Rattus norvegicus: one gene and its partners. The main gene of each other region encodes a partner of the protein of the gene in region 2 in a complex. Links are inferred from orthologs where the notes say so. Each region holds a gene or a part of one and is shown on either strand. Other genes may lie near its edges.

Region 1 (2,886 bases), about 100 Mb from region 2:
GAGAGAGAGATCATTCCCCCATGAAAACGAAGCAGGCTGCTTAAGTGCAAAGGTTCTTGCCAGGCTGGAAAGAGACCAGAACCCACAAGACTCCTAACACTTCCCTTTCAGCAAGGCTGCTGCTGGTCTCTCTCTGTTTCCCTCTAGGCCTCAGAGAGGAGGGTGGGCCAGCCTCTTACACAGGGGAGCAGGAGATCTCATTAGAAATGAGAGGCTGTGGAGGCTAAGGAGACACTTATGCCCTTAAGTCTCTTCAGCCACAGGGACCACAAGTGACAAGAAAACCCTGGAGACAACTTGTCTGAGAGGGCATATCTATAGGTTTCCATGGATACCAAGCAGGATTTCCATAACTTTTGTGAGCATGTGTGTGCTTCTGCGTGCACGTGCAGGCCAGAGGACAACCTCAGTGTAGTTCCTCAGGAGCCACACGGCGGATTTCTTCGAGGCTCACTAATCGGCTAGGCTGGCTGAACAACGAGCCCAGAGGCTCTCTGATCTCCAGCTGCCCACGTGCCCTGATACACCTGCCATTTCTGGCACGGGTGCTGGGGGTCAAACTGAAGTCCTCGTGCTTGCATGACAAGCATTTTGCTGAGCCATGTCCCATAACCCAGGGTGTGAGGAATGCTAGGGCAAGAGCTCTGTGCCTTGTCTGTGTAACCACGAACTGGAAAAGCGTCAGCCCTTCCCAGGCATGGGGGCACAGCCAGGGTTGGGAGACTTACTCTATGCCCAGGTCCACCTCAGGGATGCCACTCAGCATCTGGTTGGACAGCATCTCCTCAGTTTTCTTGGCAGAGGAGACTCGGATATTCTCTGGCAGCTCATAGAGGCAGTCCTCAGCATTCTTGGGCTTGGCCTTCTGTTCCTCTTGCTCCACAATCCCCTTCCTCTTCTTCAGCTCCGTCTCAATGTACTTCATCCTGTGAGGGGGTATACAGGCTTAAGGGGCCAGCATGGCCATAACAAGGCAACTGCTAATCAGCATTTTTAATGAAAACGTTTTACACTTAATTTTATGTCATCTATGAATATGTGAGAACATGTGTACCGCAACACATGTGAAGTCAGAGGAGTTGCTTCTATCCCTCTACTGTGTGAGTCCTGGAGGCTGGCAAAAGACATCTTTACCCACTGACCCATTTCACCAATCGATGTGTGTTATCTTGTGCACCTGCCTCACCCCTTTAAAGGATGCCCAGTTGCCGGTCAACTGTCCCTTTAAGAATTCCTTTTTTTTAAAGACTGAATTTATTTTAAGTATGTGAGTACACTGTCACTGTAGCTGTCAGACACACCAGAAGAGGGCATCAGATCCTATTACAGATGGTTGTGAGCCACCATGTGGTTGCTGGGAATTGAACTCAGGATCTCGGGAAGAGCAGCCAGTGCTCTTAACCACTGAGCCATCTCTTTAGCCCCCTTTAAGAATTCTTAGGTGTTAGAACTGCTAGACCCTATGACCTTCAGTGTTGGCTCCCTCTTGGATTTCTGGGAACAAAACAAGATATAAAAAGGCTGGCTGGGGATGGGGCTGGCAAGTGAGAAGAGAAGGCAGCTGGTGAAGAAGATATTCTGAGGAGACAGTTGAGATAGAAGCTGAGCTGAGTTAGGAAAACTGGGGAAGGGACTGTTTAAGCGACTGAGAACTGAGGGAAGAACGGTTGGGAGAACCATTTGAAGGGGCTGGGCCAGAAACTAGGAGGAGGGCTGGCAGGAGTTAAGAGAACTGGTCATTGTTCTAAAATGCTAGCCATTTTACAAATGTGGGGGAAATTCAGAGATAGCTTCTCCTCATGTAGACCAGGCTTGTCTCAAACTCACAGACAACTGCCAGTGGCTATCAAGTGTTGAGATTAAATATGCGTGTCAACAACCTGCCTTCAGTGAAAATATTATCAGTTCATGGAAAAACTAAGAATAAAAATATCTGGGAGTTCTTGAGACAGTCTCACAATTGTCTCACCTAGTTGATCACAAATGTGAGATCTTCCTAACTTAGTCTCCTTAGTGTAGAACTACAGGCATTTGAGTTCTGAAAATTTCAACTCGAAACACCAATGTACATTGGAGATTATGATACTAGATCTCCTGGAGTGACCATATCAAAGGTTCTTTGAATATGGAAAAATGGCATTATGTTTTTCTCCCTCTCCCCTCACCCCCTTCTCAAAGTGAACTCAGATTTACCAAGACAAAGGAAAAGTGAGGAAGAATTCCTAGTTGGGAAAGGTTCAAGAAAGGGATACTCTGGTAAGGATACTCTGGTACCATGTTTTAAAGGCCTTGATGAAAAAGATTGATAAATCCATGATACTAATCCTTGTGTTTTAAGGAAATATCACTAATCAAGAAAGGCAAGGGCTGAGGATATAAGTAGGAGAGAGGGCAGGAATTATCAATGCAAACAGAAAACCACCTTTGAAACCTTTTACAGATCCCAAACCTGAAAAGTAGGGAGGACACAGCCAAGAAAACATGAGAGAGGCCACCTGTGACCAGACATGTCTGAATGTCTGGCTGGGGCTGAGTTACAGTACTTACAGACAACTGGACTCACGGGTACCTACATGTCTGCATCCTCATCCCTCCGGTTGGTCTCTGCAGAAAAAGATGTCCCCAGGTGCAGATCCTCCTCTTCACTGACCCTGAGAGTAGGGAGCAGGTCATGGTCATTGACGCCAAGTTACAACTCAGGACCTCTGGAAGAGCAGTCAGTGCTCTTAACTGCTGAGCCATCTCTCCAGACCAAATGCATGCTTTCTTTTGCAAACTTTTATAGTAGTTAAGTTCCTGGGTGTGCAAAGGTTGTGTCAGGGTGCCCTCCTTTCTAGAGTCTCCCCATTGTCTCTTTTTTTTTTTTTTTTTTTTTTGGTTCTTTTT
Region 2 (3,500 bases):
GCCTGGGCATACTTTGGCAGCTTCTCCACTGGGAGCAGTTGCTAAGGGAAGAAACATCCCATACTTTATGCAACTGGATTCTTCAGCAGGTTGCCCATCCTTATAAGATTACTATGATTTCACTTTGATTTCCCCATGACTTCATTCCCTGACAATCACCATTCATAATTCTCCATTATAAACCTGTCCAGAGAGATCATTATTGCTTCCTGGTCTTAGAATGGGAAAACTTTGAAACAGTTACCACTACTAGAATAAATTATCTGAGACATGGTGACATTTTAGCTAATGACTAAAAGCCAAACTGAAAGAGAGAAGCAGAGAAAGGAAAAGGTGATTCACTCACTTCTTCTGAGCCAAAGGGCTTGGGCTTCAAAGCAGGCACGTGCACCTCTTCATAGCCCTTACGCTGGCGTCGGAAAGACCCGTCGGGAAGCTGGCAGCGCTTATTGGCCATGAAGTGGCTTCCTTGAGTAAAAACAAGGTCCTCCAAATCCAGAACCTGCCTCGGAGCCAGAGCCTGGAAACAGGTAAAACAGAAACAGGCTGAGCAGTTGAGCTTCACAGTCACCACGGCCTGGGAACAGCCCGGCACTCACCTCTCCACCCTGGTCCAAATCCATGGTTTCCAGATCTGTGTCCATTCGGGACTGACGGACTCTCTCTCTCCGGGACCTTTCTTCCTGCAGCAGGGAAAAAGAAAAAGCACAATCATCTATATCAATCTCCTGGGCTCTTGTCCTTTCCAGTCCCTTCTGGGTTGGGCTTCATTCATGGATGCTATATCATGTATTCCCAAACCAAAAGACATCACTTTGTATTCTGAGACCTGCCAGAGATTATAAAAATAAATAAATAAATCAGTCAGAGATGGCAAATACAGTGACGATGCAGTGGTCTGAAGAGGGATGTCAGAAGTAGACAGTCTTCAATTAACTACCGAAGGCAGGGAGAAAAGGTGTTCTATATTAAACAAACACGCCCTTTTCCCTGGTTGTAGTAAACAGATCCCATGGTACTAGATGAAGACAGTGCCTCAACCACAGCAACGAGTGTGCTGATTCTAATCTGCACCCTGACAAACTCCAAAGAACAGAGAGATATGATTTATTACCTCACACACTGAAAGAGAAACGAGACAGACAGACTAAACCATGATCAGGTCTTCCTTACCCTGATCAGGTCTTCCTTCTCAGTTTCATGGAGCTGATAGAGGAATTTGGAAAGCTCTGGATCAGCTTCCATCTTTCCCATGATCCTCTCCTTTTCAGCTTCACTCTGAGCACTGGCCAATAAGGTACAGTATAAAACTGCCAAACACAATAGGGAGAGAGAGAAAGTGGCAGAGAGTGAAATAAAACCAACTTTTATTCCTGAGCAAATAGAAGGTAATTAGATACTGAAGCCAGAGAAGCAACGCAATTCAGCAGACATGCTAGCAAACATGCTAGCAGACATGCTCGCACGCACGCACGCACGCACATATGCACACGGAGCGAACCAGTGCATAGTCTACTCACTCATCATCCTGTGCTGCCGCAACACTTTGATGAAGTCAAAAGTGTTGAAGCCAAGGAGCAGAACCAGCTGGTTCTCACATTCTCGGTCATCACTTGCTGTCTGGAGAGAGAAAATAAGGCCACCAGTAAGGATACAGCCACCTGCTACCTCAGACACTGCCCCTGCAGTGGCAGCACTACACTAAGCACAGCCGCCTCCCAAACACTGACCTTTTCTGAGACACATGGAACACAAGTACTACTTGGCCATACCTTCAAAATCTCCAACACCTCATCTGCCTTCTTCTGCGACACAATGGCATCATCATAGAAACGACTGAGCTGTCGCTGCAGCCAGAACGCGTCAATATCCCGAGGGTGCAAATCCTTCTTCTTAGAACTCATCAGTTCGCCTGAGGCTACAAGCTAAGAAGGAAATCAGGCATGTGGCTCACTGGGTCTCTTTATCATGCTCCACCCAAGGTTCCTGTCAACCCATAGGCTACGTTCTAAGGTCTTTCCAGAAAGCAGCAGCTCTAGTACACTGAACTCAGGAGCACACCAGACTAAGATTTCATTAACACGTGTCTTTGGGAAGAGTAACAACTAACGTCCTAAGAAAATCAAATGCTCACTGTTTAATAAGGCTCGACTGGGCTTGGTGGAACACCTGCAATTCCAGCCCTCAGGAGGCTGATGCAGCAGATTCCAAATCCGAGGCCAGTCTGAGCTGCCCATCAAGCTACTGGCACAGGTCTGTACATTTACCCACTACTCAGAAGGCAGAGTTGACAGAGCTGCACAACCTGCATGAGCTAGAGGGTAAGTCCAGCCCTGGCAACTCCGTGAGACCCTTTTTCAAAATAAAATTTTTTTTAGTCTCTTTAAATCCTGGTGCTATAACTCAGTGCTAGAGCATTCGCTTTGTACAAGACAGTAAGTTCAACCCCAGGACAACAAAAAACAAAATACTCAGCAAGGTAGCGGTGGTGCATGCCTTAATCTCACCACTCGGGAGGCAAAGTCAGGTGGATCTCTGAATTCAAGGCCAGCCTGGTCTACAGAACAAGTTCCAGGTCAGCCAGGACTACACAGGGAAACCCTACCTTAAAAAACAAATAAACAAACCACTCTAATATTGTCATTACAACGTTATCTATACATCAAATTTTAAAAACAACCCAAATACCCATGGAAAGGAAATCTGGCAGGCACAGTGGTCCACGCTGGTAATTCTAACACTTGAGAAGAAGGATGAGGAAGACGTCAAAGTTTGATGCCTGCATGGGCAACAACAACAAAACTCCAAACAGCCCCAAAGCTGAGAACGACGAGACAAGCGCAATGGTGGAGCACTGGCCCAGCATGTCTGAAGCTGGGTTCAATCTGCAGTGGCCCCCACCCAGAAAAACCAACCACAGCTCAGTGAGTGTCTTAGTAGGAGGAAGTGCTTCATTCAGAAGTAAGCTGGCCTACACCAAGACAGGGACTGTACTTACATTAGCGGAGAGGGTACAGCGCACAACAGCTTCATCCCCTTCCATGTCATCATCAGAAGCTTCTTCTCTGACTTCCCCATACACATCTTCATCACCTTCCTATGGAGACAACCCCAACCTCAATACAGATGTGGAACTGGTCCTGTGTCACTCAGACCTTGTCTTTCAATCACTCTAAGTATGCACCATGCTTAGAACAATGGCTTTGGGGTAAAGCCAATAATCAACCATATTCCAGGAACATCAACGGAATGACCATTTGGAACGGGCTTATTAGATGTATCTGTCCTCTTTTCTGCTTCTTACCTTAGCTGCCAAATATCAAACACCAGGATCATATGCTCCTTCTGAGACACAGATATCTCAAACTAAGACTATTGGCTAACAGAGGACCTATGAAGATGTACTCACAGGAAAGCAGATTGTGAGCCAGAAATGTAGACACCATGGTTAGTTTGCATAATCTCAGTTGTGGACTGTTCTTAAAGAGCATCATGTTCAA
Region 3 (3,118 bases), about 19 Mb from region 2:
CATTTTCTTTTTAAACGTTTAACACAACCAAAAAACTTGTCAAGAATTCCAGGTACTTTCATGATGCTGCCCATGAGTTAACTTTTAGGGAGAAAATAGGCCAAATTAGCCACTGTATGTTCTTACCCCAATACCAGTTTCTTGTCACTTGAGTTAAAAACATTAAAGATTTATTTATTTTATGTATACAAATGCTCAATCTGCGTGTACACCTGCAGGCCAGAAGAGGGCATCATATCACATGTTTGTGAGCCACCACGTGGTTGTTGGGAATTGAACTCAGGGCCTCTGGAAGAGCAGCTATCTCTCCAGCCCTGAGTTCAAAACATGAACTGCCCACCATAGTCACAAGGACAAAAAAGGGCAAGGATGAGGGAGCTGTCAGTCTAGTAGAGTAAAGGAACTGAGCCACAGGTGAGATCAGCCGTGTAGGAAGCTCTGCCCTGATGTAGGATCATGTTAGTACAAGATTGACTGGAGGCTAGGGCAGTCCTGTGGCTTCTGTGAGGCTCCAGGCAGTCCTGGCAGTGGCTCAGTGCTCTCTGTGGCTTTACTGAAGGCAGGCCAGGACTGCAGTAGAATCTAGGAAGATCATATTTTAGGCAAAACTACCCTAAGGGCAGAGCTATGTAGTCTCCACCCCCATTTCCTGTGTTCCGGATGTGAGGCCTACAGCTGGTTCCTTACCGGCTTGTCCTTTTGTCCCCTTTACCCTTCCTTCCCCGTCAGCTGTGTGGGGATTGCTGCTGACGCTCCCCTCTTCACTTTCTTATTCAACAGAGTCCTAATCAGAGTGGGAAGACTATAATATTATAATAGCTGGGTCATGTTTATACTTTGTTTACATGGTTAGCTAAGGGGATACTTGAGAACTATCTAAAATACATTCAACTTGGGATCTCACCTCTGGCATATCCAAGCGTGGCTGGCTGATGGCTAATTCATAGATTGCCCGAGCTCTCTCAATATCACCAAGGATTGTTTCTAATTCTGCAAACTTAATCCACGAGGTACAATTTTCAGGTCCAAATTCCAAAAACTTTTCGTAAAGCTTCCTGCATCTGTCAAATTCTCGAAGCTGCAGTTCCAGTTCTATGTAACCTTTGAATAACTTGTTCTTGGGACATTTGCCTATGGAAGTTCCCTGGAGAATAAAAGGGTCAAGAGCACTGTTACACTCATGCACGGTTCAACCTCAGTCCTTGTGGCTCTGTCCTAGAAGCTATCCTGTGCTCGAGTCAGTCTGGCAGGCCTTCTGTTGCTCTGCTATCATCCAGTTCTCACTCACCAGGCACTCAGATGACAGACACTGGGGCCTCGTCAGCTACAGGCACTACTGCAGAATGACACACTACTGGATTTTATACCTCCCCAGATCCCCTAACAAATACGGATGTCAAACATACAAACCTTTGAATAAAACCTGACTTACTACTACCCATAGGAAGCAAATAATTAATCTGAAGACCAATTGTATGTATACATAGTAATTTATCCTACTGAGACATTTTATGACAAATTATAAGGAAGATGCATTCAGACTACTAACCTGGGGATAGATCTAGTAACTGGTAGCTATAGACATTTCTTGGATTTTGTTTTGTTTGTGTTTTGTTTTGTTTTGAAGACGGGGTTTCTCTGTGTAGCTCTGGTTGTCTAGGAACTCATTCTGTAGACAAGGCTGGCCTTGAACTCAGACTTGCCTGCTTGTGCCTCTCAAGCACCGGGATTGAAGGCCTGCACCACCACCAGCACCAGGCTTAAGTGCTGTCTTTGTATCTCTTGACAAGTTCACATTTGTCACATATACAATGTACCTTGATCATATTCACCCCTAACTCCCCGCTTACACGCCCCTGTAACACGTTCTGCCCGCCTTCGTGTCACACTGAGTACAGGTAACTTTGCCTGCATGAACAGGGGAAGCCCAGCATCAGCTACACCCCTGAAGCAAATGACTGCGTCCCCTCGGCAGTCCCCAGCTGTCCATAGCCCTTGCTGGAGGTGGCGTCCCAGGAACCCTGTCCAGTTCTAGCAGGATGGCTTGATCTCCTGCAGGTCTCTTGTCCGCCACTGATGCTGCTGTGATTGAGGCAGCAGTCGTACCTTGCCCAGAAGACCTTTCCCAATACCACCCCACATCCTGTTCACCTTCTTCTACCCCGTCTCCTTCAATGGCTGTAGAAGGGGCCACATCTATGTCCCACTTCAAATGAGCACTGAGAAGTCACGTATTCTCAAAGCCCAGCATGGTCTCTGAGTTATCCCAGTCTACATATACTAGATACATTTCTGCTGCTCCACCCGCTGCTGTATTCTTTTTTTTTTTTTTTTTTTTTTTCCTTTTTGAGATGGGGTCTTGCTATGTAGTTCAGGGAGGCCACACCCGGCTTCGTTGCTTCTTTTCGGTAGGAACCATACAAACCGTAAGCATGAAGATCTGAACTGCCTCATAAGTCTCATTGACACATGCCAATCCTCTTTACTTACCAAAGCTCTTCTGGCAAATGGCAGATTTTTCTGTCTTATTTCAAACTGTGCGTAATATAACCACATTTTGGCAAACGTGAACTACAAAACACAAGCACAAAAAGATCTGGTTTAGGGGCTGGGGATTTAGCTCAGTGGTAGAGCGCTTACCTAGGAAGCGCAAGGCCCTGGGTTCGGTCCCCAGCTCCGGAAAAAAAAAGAACCAAAAAAAAAAAAAAAAAAAAAAAGATCTGGTTTAAGAGGCATATTTAAAATTAATTTAAATTAAGCTATGGTAAGATTTCAGGGTGAGGAGGGATGCAGTTTGTTGGTTTTAAGCAAAGATGGCATTTATCAACACTAAAAGCACGCCAAGAGGCTGGTGAAACGGCTCAGGGAATGGCAGTACCAGCTGTCAAGCATGGCCCTTGTATTTAATCTCGTGGTGGACAGAACCCACTCCTCCCAAAGTGATCTACGGCACATACACAGCCCTCCTCCCATAAATAAATATAATAAAAATCTGTATATACACATGTGTGATGACCTAGATGGATACCGTCCTACGCACGTCATAGCACGGCAGCCTCTGCTTTCAATGTTTTATGGGCTGCTTATAAGCTGGTAAATGTCCTGTTTCTAAGACCTC
Region 4 (4,271 bases), on a different chromosome or scaffold from region 2:
CATTAGACATGTCTCCAAAATTCACCCAAAAATCAAAATACAGCCAGGCACTTAATTTTTGCACTGAGGGGCAGAGGCAGGAGGATCTAAGTTCCAGGGTAACTGGGTCACACAGCAAAACAAACAAACAAACAACAACAACAACAATATCACAAGGGGCTGGAGACAGGGCTCAGTGGTTGAGAGCACAGCTGCTCTTCTGGATGACCTGGGTTCAATTCCCAGCACCCACATGGTAGCTCACAAATGCCTATAACTCCAGTTCCAGGGGAACCAACACACTCACAGAGACATGCACGCAGGCAAAACACCAATGCACATGAAATAAAAATAAATCATTTAAAACAGAAGAAACAAACATCAAGGACTCAGATCCTCGGGGCCATCGTGCCCAGCCTGGTGACTCTGGGTCACGAGAGGGCTGGGGGAGCCTGCAGCACAGGGCCCTTCCTGAGAAGAGCTAGGGGTGGGGGTGGGGGTTCAGTGGCAGGAAGTGAGGCTGGAGCCCATTTCCTGCAGAGACTTCCTGAAAGGGTAGGAGGCAGAGGATGGCTTCTGTGAAAATGGGTGGTGGGAGGGTGGCCTTGGTGATCAGTGACAATGGTGTCCAGTCTGACCCTCAAATAAACAGTGAAAAAGAGGCACAGTCTGGCAGCCTGTGGCTAAGCTCCAGGGAGTTGGAGCCATGGTCATCCTTGGCTACAATGTGAGGTCAGCCTGGGCTACATGAGACCCTGTTTCAATAAAGGAACAAATAGAACAGTCAAACTCCTGAAGACAAGGCACAGCAAAGGCTCAGGGGCAAACATCACTAAACAAGAACAGGCGCACATACACAGCTCTTCTGGAGCTGTTATGGCCAGCACAGGCTAGTCTGGCTGTGAGGCAGCCATGGTAAGGTCCAGCCTACTACTGAGCTTTTGTCCCTCCTGCCCGGGCCCCAGCCACCTCCCAGGGTGCCCTTCCCCAGACTTTCTTTGCCCAATCCTGCTGAGCATGTCCCCTCCTGTGACTAGGCCCCTAATGGCCACCCTGGGCTGCCAGCCTGTTTCCACCCACCACAGCAGGGGCCGCTCTCTAATTACAGGGTGATCAGCACCAGTCTCCCTGGCTAGACAGAAGGTCAGTGTGGGCGCGGGCTCTCCTGCAGCAGGGAGGGGCAGTAAACACTTGCTGAACAGGCAGGGTGGAGATACCCAGCACAGGTGCATCCTGTCCAGAGCCACAGGTAAGTGTGGTGTAGGGACAGGCCGCCACCCCCAGATCTGCGCATGCAGTGGGATACAGAGGAATGGAAGGAATGGGGTTCATAGAGAAGTAATTAGTCCGTGCTCCAGCTGGGCAGGCCTCCCAAAACGAAGGAAAAAAAGCTCAGAGTGAAACGGGCCAGGGTGGACAGGGAGGGTGGAGCTGGGATAGTCACAGGCTTTTGAGTGGGGAGATACAGCTTTACACTGAGCACCTGCACCTGCAGGTGTTATGGCCACTGGCTCTGGGCTCCAGTCCCAGCACCTCCCATCAGAGGAGCAGTTTCAGGAAAGGAAATTCCTTCTCAGCCACCCTCCAGCCTCTCTGGGATCCAGCGTGTAGATGAGACGGCTGGAGGATCAAGCCTTGGGCTCCGAATTCAGAAACTTTCGGCTGGGACACTCCTGTACCAGCTGGGCCGCAGAGATATGGGAGTGTCTGTGCGTACCTGCGTGGAGAGGGTGTCCAGTCCTGGACACACCTGGCCATCCCTTCAGGGAGGCTCAGAGGCTGGGCGGGTGCTTTATGGTGGGAATAGACTGAAGGAGTCTCAGGGGCTCAGGGTACACCTAGTGGGGAGTGCTTACACAGCATGTGTTAGGCCCTGAGGTCCTGCACCACAAAACCCAGGGTCGCTCTGGAGTAAAGGCAGGATCAGGAGTTCAGTCATACGTGATTACAAAGGAAGTTCAAAAGCAGCCTGGGCTATATGAGATCTGCCTCCCGTCCTAACCCAAACATGGAGGTATACACGTGTCCTTTCCATACTCCACTGATTGAAGCAAGAGGATGAGTTTGAGGCTAGCCTGGATTACGTTAAGTTCAGATCAGAAAGCCTAACCAAAAAACAAAACCAAATATTCTACCATCAAGAACTGAGATGGGCATGTCCAGCTCTCCCAACTTGGGCCAACGCGCCCCTCGATAGAGCAGCAGGGAAACCTGGCCTCCTCTATTCCATCATGTCAGGTCCCACAACTGGGAAGGCCTGAGCCTGAACTAGGAGAAAAAATTTCCTTCCTCCCGAGCAGGACCTGCTATGTGTCCAAGGGAGAGAAACATCCCTCAATCTGGGTTGGACTTTCGGCCAAAGGCGTAGGCAGCTGAGGTCAGACACTTGATAAGCATCAAGTGGGCAATGGAACCCACGTGAGCCCTTAGGTCCGCCCACTTCCCGGAAACGCAGCAATCCTATCAAAAACGGTGACAAGCTCCGGAAGCGATCATAGTCCTTCCGGCCGCAAAAAACCTTGTCCATTCAAGAGATAAATCCGCAACGGTGGCGGACTGGGACCCTAGAGAGACACTGGTCACCTCCGGCCTCAGGTTTCCCCATCTCTCAGCAGCCCGAAGACCCTGAGCGCGCGCCCCGCCGCCTCGCGGCCCTCACCATCTTCCCTGCAGAGATAACTTCCGCCGCTGCACAGCCACTCGCACTCCCACCGGCAGTCTACCGCGCGCTCCAGCCTGAAAAAGACTGGCAGAAACTATAACCAATCAGCGAGTGACTAAATGGACCGATCCAATCGGAACGGGATAAGGCGGTGCCTACATAACGCGGCGGCGTATCGCGTCGTATTCCCACCGTGGGATTGAGGAGCGGCCGTAAAGCGTGACACCGGAGTGACGCAAAAGGCCGCGGTGCTCTTCATGCCCACTCATGGTGTATGTTGGGAAATGGCGCCTGCGCAGATGTGCACTCCTGACTGGTTCGGCGCCACACTGTGGGCGAAACTGGCTAATGCATGTGAATCGCGCTGGGCTGGGGAAACCCGCTTCATACCCTCTTCGCGCTCCTATCTTTCCGTCCTCGCCCTTATGGAGCTCTTTCTCTTTATCAATCCAAATATAATCCTTGAACGCGAACGTCAGGGCCAGCGTTCCCCGGCGACAGGAAACAAATCGCTGGAATTTTCGTGTTTTGAGATGGGTTCTTGTGGCAGCTGAAGCTGATCATGAACTCGCAATAGCCTGGTACGCAACTTCTTCAGTGCTGGCATGGCCGCTGTAGGCTACCAAGCCAGCACCTTGTTTTTTTGTTTTTGTTTTTGTTTTTTTTTAATCGTTATCATTTTGGGAAGAGGTTAGGGTTTCTCTGTGCAGCCCTAACCGGCCTGGAACACTCAGTGTTGACCAGGCTGGTCTCAAACTTCCTGAGATCTTGGTGCTGGGATTGCAGGTGTGTTTTAATCTGTCGTCTTGAGATACAAAGTTAGGTTCTCATGCTTGCCCAGTGTTAGGGTCCATGATTCGCCACCGAAGAATGATACCGTGGATTCAAATAGTATGTAAAGGCAATGAATGTTTTATTCTGCAGAAGTCCAGCATGCTGTGGTCTCCCATTACCAGAATAGACACCCAAGTGAACTTGGAAGTCTGATTTAAAGCACATTAGGGAATTCTGGGGTAGGTGACCTCTATGTTAATCTGTTGGGTCCATCTCTACAGACATTCCATTACTGGGGTGTGGGGGCTGGAAACTTACTGGGGAGGGCTGGAAACTGCTGCTGAGGAAGTCTGGAAACTGCTGTTGACCCAGCCATTGTCCTTGCCTCAGGCCAGGTGGCAGGGCAGCTTCTGAGGCCTGGACTTGCCTGGAATTGCCCAGTTCTTGGAAACTGATTTAGGCCTACTCTCCTTAACTGCCAGTTTGAAGTCTGTCATGGAATCAGTCTAGCCTTTTCACCAGTCAGCCTTTTTTACCCATGGATCCAACTCCCCTGCCCTTCTATTTATTTTTATTTCCTTTGGCTACTGGCGATGGAATCGGAGCTCTGCCCTGAGCTGTCCCGAGCAGGACAGCTGTTTTACCAAGCTTCTGGAAGGCCTGGTGCAGAATGTCAGTGATGAGCTCACTTGTACGGTTCCTCTGCCCCAGGAGACTCCCTGGGCGCCACTACCCAGGGCTCTTCTTCTTTTTTTTTTTTTTTTTTTTTTTTTTTGGTTCTTTTTTCCGGAGCTGGGGACCGAACCCAGGGCCTTGCGCTTCCTAGGTAAGCGCTCTACCACTGAGCTAAATCCCC
Region 5 (2,212 bases), on a different chromosome or scaffold from region 2:
TAGCTGTGGATCAGATGCATCAGTTAGAAACATAGAGTGCTGTCTGACCTGGACCCTTCCCACTCACTGAGTCTGCTTTACCCATTGGGGGAGAAACTTATCCCGTAGATCTCCTTCAGATGGCCTTCTAGGAACATAATGCAGCGTCCTGTGCGTAGGTCCCAAACTCGGCCAAAGGCATCCAGTCCCCTGAGGAGACAACATTTGTGTGAACATATGGAATACAGTGTGACAAGAAAGCGGGGTTGCCTAAGAGGTGAGACTACTAAGCTGCCCTTCCCTTGCTTTGTGGAGGAAATCTTACCCAGTGCCAGCCAAAGAGCCATCTTGATGGAAGGCAATGTCATACACACCCATGCTGTGGCCTTCCTGGTGTAGAATCTCCTCTTGAGCCTCTAAATCCCATAAGCGCCATGAACGGTCATAACTTAAAAATAAATAAGAATAAATTTTCCAACTTACCAAAATTATACCAACGATAAATCAGCAGATTAAGTGTCTATGACAAGGGGTTGGGGATTTAGCTCAGTGGTAGAGTGCTTGCCTGGCAAATGCAAGGCCCTGGGTTCGGTCCCCAGCTCCGAAAAAAAAGAAAAAGAAAAAAAAAAGTGTCTATGACAAGGAACTATAGATAACCATAGCTTAGCTCGCCGCTGGTCAACCATACTACCAAGAGCTGCCAGGCTGGAGGGGGACGGCTGAGGACAAAAGCAGACTGCTCTTCCAAAGGTCCTGAGCATGATTTCCAGCAACCACATAGTGGCTCACAACCATCTATAATAAAATCTGGTGCCCTCTTCTGGTGTGCAGGCATATATGCACATAGAACACTACTAAATAAATCTAAAGGCGGGGCAATTGTATCCTAAAAAAAGGAAAGAAAGGAAGTAAGGAAGGAAGGGGAAGAGAAGGGAAGGAAAAGGAAGGAAGGAAGGAGAGAGAGAGGAAGGAAGGAAAGAAGGAAGGAAGGAAGGAAGGAAGGTAGGTAGGTCTTTCTGACATGAGCAATGCCTCACCGTCCAAGAGTCTGTTTTAGTTGACAGTTGGGAGACCATGAACATTCTGTACTTTAGTGGGTATTCTTTAAAAAACAAATTCCCTGGATTGGGGTTGGAGCTCAATAGTAGGGAGGTCTTGCCTGGTATGTGCAGGGCCCTGGGTTCGGCCACGAGCACAAAACAAAAACAAACTTCTTGAAGAATGGCCCAGCAAAGATGGCACTGCCTCCCCCTCATTCCTCTGCTGCACTCCTTCACTCATCATCAGGCATTTGTGTATTTACTGGAGACTCAATTGAAATTTGGGCATTAAAGAAAGAAAGGACAAATAGAGCAGATCTAGAAATAGACCCGAATGTGTACAATCAGAATGTTCTCATTAAAGGTGCAAAAGGAATTTTAATGAAAATCTTAAAGGATGGTTGCAAACAGGTTTTGGTAGTACAAATACAGAACAGATAAACTCAGGAAGGGCAAAGCAATTGGAGCCTGCACTAAAGATGTGCAAGATGTGTGAGCATGTGGCAAAATAAGTGCAACGCCATCAGGGTGGGACACTGACATGAGGTATTACTGTGTGCTCTACTGTGGGCAAAACAGTACGACTGGCAACAGCAGACACCGACACAGCTACAAACCAGAGTGGGTGGAGCCCAGCTGTTTCTAAGATTTTATTCTGGGGAACAGCGTCTCACTATGAAGCCCAGACTGGCCTCAGTTGTGAGGCCCTTGTGCTGAGTGTTGGGACTGTAAGCATATGGCACTGAATCCAGCTTGCCCAAATCCTTTAAAAGCTAACATACATCTACTCTATACACCACCACTCCACAAACTAGCAATTATATTGTAACTATCTAAGAGCAAGGGAAAGACAACCACTATATCTACAAAAAGCTTCAATAAGGGTATTTATAGATGGCACAGGATGTTATTCCAGAGGACCCAAGTCCCAGGACCCACACAGCAGCTCACAATCATGCGTAACTCTAATCTGATGCCCTTTTTCTGGACGCAGGCAAAAAACTCATACACAAAACATGAAAAAAGGGTGTTTACAGTAGTTTTATCTTGACTGGCCACAACCTAGAAACATGCCCACATGTCCATCAACGGGAGGATGCATAAACCGTGGCTCAGACACACAACACACTACAACTCAACAACACTAATGGGTATAAACAGGCAGAATGAACGCAATCAAGTCATAGGTTGTT
Region 6 (3,145 bases), on a different chromosome or scaffold from region 2:
AAATCAATATATTGATGTTTTAAGCTCAGAATCTCAGACCATGACCTTATTTGAAGTGATTATCATATGTAATTGGTTAAGATGAGGTTGTCAGAGTGAGGTGGGCCCCTCAGACAATGTGACTGGTATTCTTATAACTATGAATATTTTGAGATTGGCATATACATGCGTACACATGACATACACAACTCGTAAGGAAAATGGCAAACACTGGGATAATGTACTCTCAATCCAAGGTTCACCAAGGACGGCTAATAACCTCCAGAGCTAAGGGGTTACTATGGATAGCCCACGCCTCAAATGGAACCCAGAACACAGCCACCTCAGGTGCAGACCTGGAAAACCATACAGCTGAAATGTCTGTGGAAGCCACCCTATCTGTGGTATTTGCTTGACAGCTCTAGCGACCACTTGAAGATGCAAAACCTGACAGCCTCATGGGACAGACAACGCTTTCACTGAGAGTGAAGACATTTACAGTCAGTAAAGCACACGGCAGATTCCTACTGTTCCTTCACGTTTATTTGCTTCAGGTAGTTAAGGCCCCTGTAACTCATCTCAAGGCTCCTCCAGCCCTAAGGCCATGTTCTGCTGCAGGCCCTTTCCCGAGGCTATGAGAGCAGAGTCTGTCTAGCCAGAAGAGGCTCCCAGTGTCCTGTGCACAGCCTGAGTCAGTGCTCAGTATCTGTACTTTGTGGAATAGTCCTTGGGCGACACCACCAGGCCTCGGCCTTTGCGGGCGCCACGGTACACGGTCTCTATGATGTCAACCATTTCCTGCTTGTCTTCCATGGCCCAGTTGATCTTGTTATTGTTACCAGTGCCCAAATCAATCATGATGTGTTTGTTTCTGAAAGAGAAGAGAAGAGCGATGCTCACAGAGAGCCCCACGCACGTCTGGTCTCTCTGCGGCCTAAGCACCTGTAATGCCATTTAAGAGCACAGACCACTCAGAGAGTCCACAGTTCAAGACAAAATAAAGACAAACACTAAATATAATTTTCTATAGAAAAACTCTGCACTCTTCTTGGATTTTCTGTGCATTTGTTTACATATATAATTTAGTTCTTTTGAGACAGGGTCTCTACATATCTCTGATTGTCCTGGAACTCACTTTGTAGATAGGGCTGGCCTCAAACTCAGAGACCCCATTGCCCCTGCTCCCGAGTTCTAGACTGAGGGCATGCACCGCTGTGCCCTGCAATTGTGCATCCGTATCTTGGACTGTAAAGGTCAAAGACAGCTGTATCGTTCTGAAAGACAAGCAGTTTTCCCGAGGTGCTCTAATTTTCCTGAAAAAGCCTGTGACCTTCTCATGCTTTGTGCACAGGGACTTGGTACAGATTCACCAAACGCTTTGTAACCGTGGGTTGAGAATGATGGCTTTGCCCACCTGGTATGCTGTGACTGAGAAGCAAACAGTCCTTAGCCACTCACCCTTCAGAGGACAGGCCTTTCCCTCACTTAGGAACCTGCATTTGTACTTTCTGAATAAAGATATTAATCCCTACTGAATTTGCATGAATTTTTTCAAGTTTCTAAAGATCTGTTTCTATTAGTCTAACACTATGGGATCACTTCTATGGAATCACACACTGGCTTCCACTATAGCCCATGACCACGCCCCACTGGTTCTGAGAGCAGTGAAAAGGTCAGTTTGACATGACATATGTCAAATATTCACTCCCAGGGAGCATTCCATGTCCTCAGTTAGCCCAGGAAGGGGGTGGACACCCACACCTCCTCCTACCCACATGCACAGCAGCCCTACTGGGCTCTATGGCTTAGTCTCTCTGTAAGCACACTGGACATGACTAGTACTTTGTATACCCGGGAACCCTGTGTGATTCTGACAGGCTTCAGTCAGTTTTATCTCTGCAAAGGGTTTTTGTAAAGAGGAGCCTGGCTTCTCTTACTCTGTCCCAGTCCTAAGAGTAAAACCTGGTAGGTACTCAGTGTACCTGGTAGGTACACTGGGATATAAACTGACCACTCTTGACTCTTGTTCTAGAACTTTGGATCACAGAAGAAGGAGGAAATTTGTCTTCTTTTCTGAGTCCACTATCTGTCCTAATGACCTCAAAGACACCGGCTGTCCCTACCCACACACCAACACTGCTTCCTCCAACCTCCTCCCATGCCTGTCGCTGTCTCTCTAAGCTAGTCCCTCTCTCCCATGTGAAGTGAGCGCCTTGTTTCTCACAAAGAGGAAGGGACTTTGGTTGCACACTGGGAAGGAACTACTGTGTCCTATAGTTGTATGGAAAGCAGAACTTGTTAACTGAACTTGTTTTTTAGCAGAAGAGATTTCCAAACAAGGAAATGCTGCCTGTTTTCTTTCTGTCCGTAAAGGACAGAGATGAGTGGGCTCAGGACTGTTAGTGAGAAAATTAAACTCGCAGCTTCTTCAGATAGCACAGTGCTGAAGGCCAGAACATTCGCAGGCAGCAACTGTGGAGGAAGAGAAGACTGTGGAAAGAAGAGAATGGCCCCCACTGTGGCTGAAAGAGCTGGTCAACCTGCTCAGCTGCAAGCATCAGTCATGAAGGAGACTTGGTTAGATCCCTTCCCAGGGGGAGCACGCAGCTAGGAGTGTAATACTGAGCCTTATTAAAGTTTGTCTGGCCCTGTGTGCTGTGTGTGCAGGTGTGGGGTGTTGGAGGTGGAAGGGGAAGAGGCTCCCTGTTTCTGCCCAATCCCTCTGAGCTGGAACAACTTCACAGGGCAGGGGTCACGCTGTAGACCTCAGAGCAACTGACTGGGTGATCTGGACAATGAGGACTGTGACCTGCTGGTCCCAGGAGTGGGGTCTCTAGGGTCCTTGGAGACCTGGGAGAGGGTCCTGGCTTGCTTTAAGGGAAGGACAGTCTCAAGGATAATAGACAAAATCCTAAAATACCGCCCGTCCCTGGGACCTCTGCTGTGACACTGCACAGGACATTCCTGACACGGGCCAAGCTCCTCAGTAGCTGGCTCTAAAAGGAGATCACTGTGATTACCCAACTCGCACTAGTCTAACCCCCCTCTAAGAAGGAGAGGATTGTGCGAAAAGCTCACTGTGACAGACAATGGATGCTGTCTTACTCAGACAGAGGAGCCTTAAAGAGCAGAGTGGCTCCCACCAACAGCAGCAAGAAGAAAAGCC
Region 7 (3,658 bases), on a different chromosome or scaffold from region 2:
CATGCTAATGGGACTGCCAGACCTCTTCCTGTGCCAGTGGTGTCAGAGACCTGGCTCGTCAGCTCTGAACTTTGCCAGGTACAGGGTGAGCAGGTCCAATAGAGCCTGTGGAACACAGTGGGTGGGGAGGGCTGGGACCCTGGGAGCACTCCATGTTGAGTACTCCCTCACTTCTGTACCTCCCTGTACTGGGAGCTCAATGCTGACCTAACACCAGCCTTGACCTCATTTCCACTCATCTGTTGGGAATGCCAGGTCGGCTGAGTCGGGTAGGAGGAGCCACAAGGCAGGGGAATCCAGCACAGAATGTTGGGGATAAACTGCAAGAACACTTTCCTTTTGAGGGACAAGACAGTAAAGGTTAGACCATTACCCCATCTCAGGTATCTAGGTGTTGGAAATATTCCACTGAGCTGGATGGTTCTAGCTTGTGTCTCAAGAAATAAAAGGCAGTCCGCTGAGCTCACCCCTGTGAACTGAGGATCAGGCTAAAGCAACCTCCTGGACACAAGGGGCAACCACCACTGTCTTTCTCTTTGACTCCTGTCTGCACCCCTCCCCCAGGCTGCTGGGTTAATTGGCCACTAGAGAGGAGAAGTCCTGGCTAAGATTCAGGTCCCAGCAGTAGGCTGATTTGTCGGTGAACCCCAAGCTTGTACTAGGGCATTCTAGGTCTCAGCCACCTCCACCCACCACGCCAGGGCAACCTGTTCCATGCTTGGCTGGCTTCTGAGGGAACCTTTATATTCTATGTTGTGAGGCCCATGGGCACCAGGCCAAGGCTGTTGGAAGCCTGTTGCACAGCTTCAAGAACATAGTAAAGGAGGAGAGAATGCAGCAGCCCAGTGGATCCTCAGACTCTGGTGTCTAAGGATGCAAGAAAACAGTCCCAGGCCTGGAGGAGGATTATGTGTGGCCTTGAATAGTAGGGTCAGCGTCCAGCACCTAAAGCGTCCGTCCGTGCCTGTGTCAGGAAGCACAGACAGGCAGTGCCCACGGTAACGGCCTCGAATCTATGAAGCCCCAACCAACCCATTACAAGGACCACCACGTCTCTATACGCCAAGAGCCAACCAGGACCTTGGTCCCGCCCAACTCCAGAAAGCCAACAAAGCACAAGACCCGCACCACTTCCGCCCAGGGCCGGAAGTGTCTGGGAAACTGGTTGTAGCTCGCAGTGCGTAGTGACGCACTTCCTCGTGTCGGACCCGGCCCAGGTGGCTTCCGACGGACGACGCTAGAAGCCTCAACCCTTTGCGATTGGCAGTTAACCCTAGAGTATTGTGGGAATCACGGCTCCGCCTTTTCCCCTTTCGTCATTTCTGGGTGGATTTCCGTGTGCGCTCCGGTCTTCGGGATGGCACACATGTTACAAGTCCCGGCAGGCATTAGGCAGTGACCCCATTGCCTTCTGGGAGTTGTAGTTTCTCGGGCGCTGAAGCCACAATATTCTGATAGCCCGAGACTCGGTTTCCCAGGAATCCAAGCGAGATTGAACAGGCCGGAATCCCGTGGAACTGGCGGGACGCTGCGGGAAAGGTGGCAGGTTATTGAAGCGTGTACGGATGCTGGAACGGTGAGCACTGGCCTCCCTAGGGCCGCGACCAGGCCAGTACCGTGCCTGTTTCTGCCACCTCCCCCTCCGGACCCCGGGTGGTGCCTTCAGTGTGTGCCCAGAGAGGCTGCGCTTTGCTAAGAGCTCGTGATGGGACGAGCCGCTGATGGAGATCCCCTGTCACCAGCATCTCCCAGCGCTCATCTATTGTATGTCCACACTGTTATGATCTCATGGTTGACTCTCTCCTTAACCCCACCTAACCTGCAGCTCCACATCTGTGCACGCTAGGATACCCTTTAGCCACCCAGCTTCGCGAGGCCTCCGGTCCGGTTGTGAGTAGAGGCGCCTGGCACACAGTGGAGGTGAAAGAGCCCGGGAGGGCGGGGAGGGGTGCGGCATTAGGTACACCCCTCACGGCAGAACTGGGACTGCCTTGCTACAGGTGGGACGGATGTCAGGTCTTATGGCGGAGACAGAGGCCGGCTTGGAGGTTGAGGAACCCACCGAGGATGACACCCTGCCTTCTGACACCGTCTCCCTCAGCGACTCGGACTCTGACCTCAGCTTACCTAGTGGTGTGGAGGTCCAAGCGTTGTCCCCAGAGAGGCTTTCTGGGGAGAGCCAGGAGGACTCGGGCCCTGATGACCCTCCCTCGCACCCCACGGGCATTCCCACCACTGCAGTGCAGCCGTTCCACCTCCGAGGCATGAGCTCCACTTTCTCCCAGCGGAGCCACAGCATCTTTGATTGTCTGGAGAGTGCAGCCCGGCAGGAACCGTGCTCTGCTCCCCAAACCAGTGTGGTTGACAATTGCAGCTTCAAGCGGCCTGTGGCTCCCCCAAGTCAGACTCCAGCAAGAAGCTTGAGCAGAGTGCATGGGAACACTGACCCGACCAGGGTACACCCTGTCCCTGACTATGTGTCACACCCTGAGCGTTGGACCAAATACAGTCTGGAAGATGTGTCTGAAACCAGTGAGCAGAGCAATCGTGATGCTGCCCTGGCCTTCCTGAGCTCTCGAAGCCAGGCATCCCCCACAGACTATGTGCCCTTTTTCAACCAGGACCCCTCTAGCTGTGGGGAGGGAAGAGTGGTCTTCACCAAACCAGTGCGGGGCAGCGAGGCTAGGGCTGAGAGGAAGAGGGTCCTAAAGAAGGGGGTTGTGTCAGGTGCAGGGGGTGAGGCCTCAGTGGAGCTAGCCCATCTCGCCGGGCCTGAGGCTGAGGAATGGAGTGGCCACCAGGGACAGCCAGAGGTGGTAGTGCCTTCAGAAGCTGCCCGTCCTGAGTCCTCATCAGGCCCCATAGGTATGAAAACTGTTGGTTTCCATGGCAGCAAGAAGCGGAGCAGAGACCACTTCCGGAACAGGGATAGTAACCCGGAGGGGCCAGGGTCTGAGAGAGGACCCTCAGTTTGACTGCAGTGCCATCGCTCTACCTCCTCACCTGCCCAGTCCAGGTGGGACAGTGTGGGCTCTCTGTAGTAGGGATGTGTGGGCCTCAACTCTGGCAGAGACTGGGAATTGTGGGTCAGGGGACCTTGAAGGCCTTTGTGCCCCATTGTTTGGGGTGAATAATAAAGGTTTTGAGTATTTACTGAATTTCGTGAATTTTTCTCGGCCCCACTCAAGAGTTATGTCCAAACAGTCCTGGGCAGCTAACTACAGGACTGCATCTCTACCAGCCTCATCCTGCCTTCCCCGCTCTAGTGAGGACCGCTGTGAAGGTTTGCCATGGGCATTGATGTTTGTCACTGGTAACCTACCCAGAGGGAGTGGGCTCGTAGCTGTGTTCAGCCTTGTGCCCCTGATGGTACTGGATGAGCATAATATGGTCCCCCTGCCCCCCAGAAACCAGTGCAGCCCCAGCACTGGGCCCGCACAGACCACGGGTTCTAGGAAGAGGATAAGTTGTGAGCCAGCAAATGGTTGGTGTCCGGGCTGTATGTCTCCAGGACTTGTGACCTCTGTATAAGACACAGCTGATGCTAGATCCTTCAGCTGAAGCTGGGCCAGGGAGGAGGAGAAGGATGCACGAGTGAGTATTTCATGTGGAGGCCAGGGACTTGGACCAAGTTAGCCAGCCTGGCCTGCTAAGCACC

Evidence for each region.
Region 1: the proteins of Snrnp200 (region 2) and C3h9orf78 are in contact, whole or in part, in a cryo-EM structure (PDB 7OS2), measured with the Homo sapiens proteins. The link is inferred for Rattus norvegicus from reciprocal best matches to the Homo sapiens genes SNRNP200 and C9orf78. Residues at the interface, in NP_054733.2 of Homo sapiens: Val1188, His1189, Leu1190, Gln1191, Glu1201, Pro1283, Ser1285, Arg1287, His1288, Leu1289, Asp1729, His1730, Asn1769, Tyr1770, Asn1772, Gln1774, Gly1775, His1780, His1784, Leu1788, Gln1791, Asp1795, Gln1798, Ser1799, Tyr1826, Thr1827, Glu1830, Leu1831, Met1834, Ser1835; in NP_057604.1 of Homo sapiens: Arg5, Lys6, Ile7, Phe8, Arg9, Arg10, Arg11, Glu16, Ser17, Glu19, Glu21, Asp23, Ser24, Glu25, Val27, Arg28, Lys30, Leu31, Thr34, Arg35, Val37, Gln38, Arg41, Arg43, Pro44, Asn45, Gly46, Val47, Ser48, Ala49.
Region 3: Snrnp200 (region 2) and Crnkl1 share a complex: the UniProt entries of both Homo sapiens proteins name them as parts of the minor spliceosome. The link is inferred for Rattus norvegicus from reciprocal best matches to the Homo sapiens genes SNRNP200 and CRNKL1.
Region 4: Snrnp200 (region 2) and Lsm4 share a complex: the UniProt entries of both Homo sapiens proteins name them as parts of the U4/U6-U5 tri-snRNP complex. The link is inferred for Rattus norvegicus from reciprocal best matches to the Homo sapiens genes SNRNP200 and LSM4.
Region 5: Snrnp200 (region 2) and Prpf4 share a complex: the UniProt entries of both Homo sapiens proteins name them as parts of the U4/U6-U5 tri-snRNP complex. The link is inferred for Rattus norvegicus from reciprocal best matches to the Homo sapiens genes SNRNP200 and PRPF4.
Region 6: Snrnp200 (region 2) and Txnl4a share a complex: the UniProt entries of both Homo sapiens proteins name them as parts of the U4/U6-U5 tri-snRNP complex. The link is inferred for Rattus norvegicus from reciprocal best matches to the Homo sapiens genes SNRNP200 and TXNL4A.
Region 7: the proteins of Snrnp200 (region 2) and Tssc4 are in contact, whole or in part, in a cryo-EM structure (PDB 7PX3), measured with the Homo sapiens proteins. The link is inferred for Rattus norvegicus from reciprocal best matches to the Homo sapiens genes SNRNP200 and TSSC4. Residues at the interface, in NP_054733.2 of Homo sapiens: Arg1438, Arg1475, His1502, Lys1748, Gln1749, Val1752, Asp1753, Thr1756, Trp1757, Tyr1761, Arg1762, His1778, Leu1781, Ser1782, Asp1783, Leu1785, Ser1786, Glu1787, Val1789, Glu1790, Gln1791, Glu1807, Met1808, Asn1814, Met1817, Ile1818, Tyr1821, Tyr1822, Asp1928, Ser1931; in NP_001284587.1 of Homo sapiens: Val198, Ser199, Ser200, Phe201, Asn202, Gln203, Asp204, Pro205, Gly211, Arg212, Val213, Ile214, Phe215, Thr216, Lys217, Pro218, Arg220, Gly253, Pro254, Val255, Glu256, Leu257, Ala258, His259, Leu260, Ala261, Gly262, Gly303, Phe304, His305.

What each region holds. Positions count from the first base shown.
Region 1 is NC_086021.1:34,664,397-34,667,282, forward strand, and holds part of C3h9orf78 (telomere length and silencing protein 1 homolog), read right to left. Parts: intron 2,652-2,886; coding exon 2,574-2,651; intron 927-2,573; coding exon 729-926; intron 1-728. UniProt on the Homo sapiens protein: Plays a role in pre-mRNA splicing by promoting usage of the upstream 3'-splice site at alternative NAGNAG splice sites; these are sites featuring alternative acceptor motifs separated by only a few nucleotides. May also modulate exon inclusion events.
Region 2 is NC_086021.1:134,888,673-134,892,172, reverse strand, and holds part of Snrnp200 (U5 small nuclear ribonucleoprotein 200 kDa helicase), read right to left. Parts: intron 3,098-3,500; coding exon 2,999-3,097; intron 1,926-2,998; coding exon 1,773-1,925; intron 1,621-1,772; coding exon 1,521-1,620; intron 1,311-1,520; coding exon 1,174-1,310; intron 684-1,173; coding exon 600-683; intron 521-599; coding exon 347-520; intron 42-346; coding exon 1-41. UniProt on the Homo sapiens protein: Catalyzes the ATP-dependent unwinding of U4/U6 RNA duplices, an essential step in the assembly of a catalytically active spliceosome. Plays a role in pre-mRNA splicing as a core component of precatalytic, catalytic and postcatalytic spliceosomal complexes.
Region 3 is NC_086021.1:153,794,497-153,797,614, forward strand, and holds part of Crnkl1 (crooked neck-like protein 1), read right to left. Parts: intron 2,572-3,118; coding exon 2,491-2,571; intron 1,145-2,490; coding exon 905-1,144; intron 1-904. UniProt on the Homo sapiens protein: Involved in pre-mRNA splicing process. As a component of the minor spliceosome, involved in the splicing of U12-type introns in pre-mRNAs.
Region 4 is NC_086034.1:18,792,057-18,796,327, forward strand, and holds the start of Lsm4 (U6 snRNA-associated Sm-like protein LSm4), read right to left. Parts: upstream 2,801-4,271; 5' UTR 2,726-2,800; coding exon of another isoform or gene 2,642-2,725; coding exon 2,639-2,641; intron 1-2,638. UniProt on the Homo sapiens protein: Plays a role in pre-mRNA splicing as component of the U4/U6-U5 tri-snRNP complex that is involved in spliceosome assembly, and as component of the precatalytic spliceosome (spliceosome B complex).
Region 5 is NC_086023.1:80,885,511-80,887,722, reverse strand, and holds part of Prpf4 (U4/U6 small nuclear ribonucleoprotein Prp4), read right to left. Parts: intron 428-2,212; coding exon 305-427; intron 190-304; coding exon 82-189; intron 4-81; coding exon 1-3. UniProt on the Homo sapiens protein: Plays a role in pre-mRNA splicing as component of the U4/U6-U5 tri-snRNP complex that is involved in spliceosome assembly, and as component of the precatalytic spliceosome (spliceosome B complex).
Region 6 is NC_086036.1:75,947,229-75,950,373, reverse strand, and holds the end of Txnl4a (thioredoxin-like protein 4A), read right to left. Parts: intron 851-3,145; coding exon 679-850; 3' UTR 501-678; downstream 1-500. UniProt on the Homo sapiens protein: Plays a role in pre-mRNA splicing as component of the U5 snRNP and U4/U6-U5 tri-snRNP complexes that are involved in spliceosome assembly, and as component of the precatalytic spliceosome (spliceosome B complex).
Region 7 is NC_086019.1:207,681,087-207,684,744, forward strand, and holds Tssc4 (U5 small nuclear ribonucleoprotein TSSC4), read left to right. Parts: upstream 1-1,458; 5' UTR 1,459-1,576; intron 1,577-1,825; 5' UTR 1,826-1,890; exon of another isoform or gene 1,891-2,000; 5' UTR 2,001-2,009; coding exon 2,010-2,975; 3' UTR 2,976-3,158; downstream 3,159-3,658. UniProt on the Homo sapiens protein: Protein associated with the U5 snRNP, during its maturation and its post-splicing recycling and which is required for spliceosomal tri-snRNP complex assembly in the nucleus.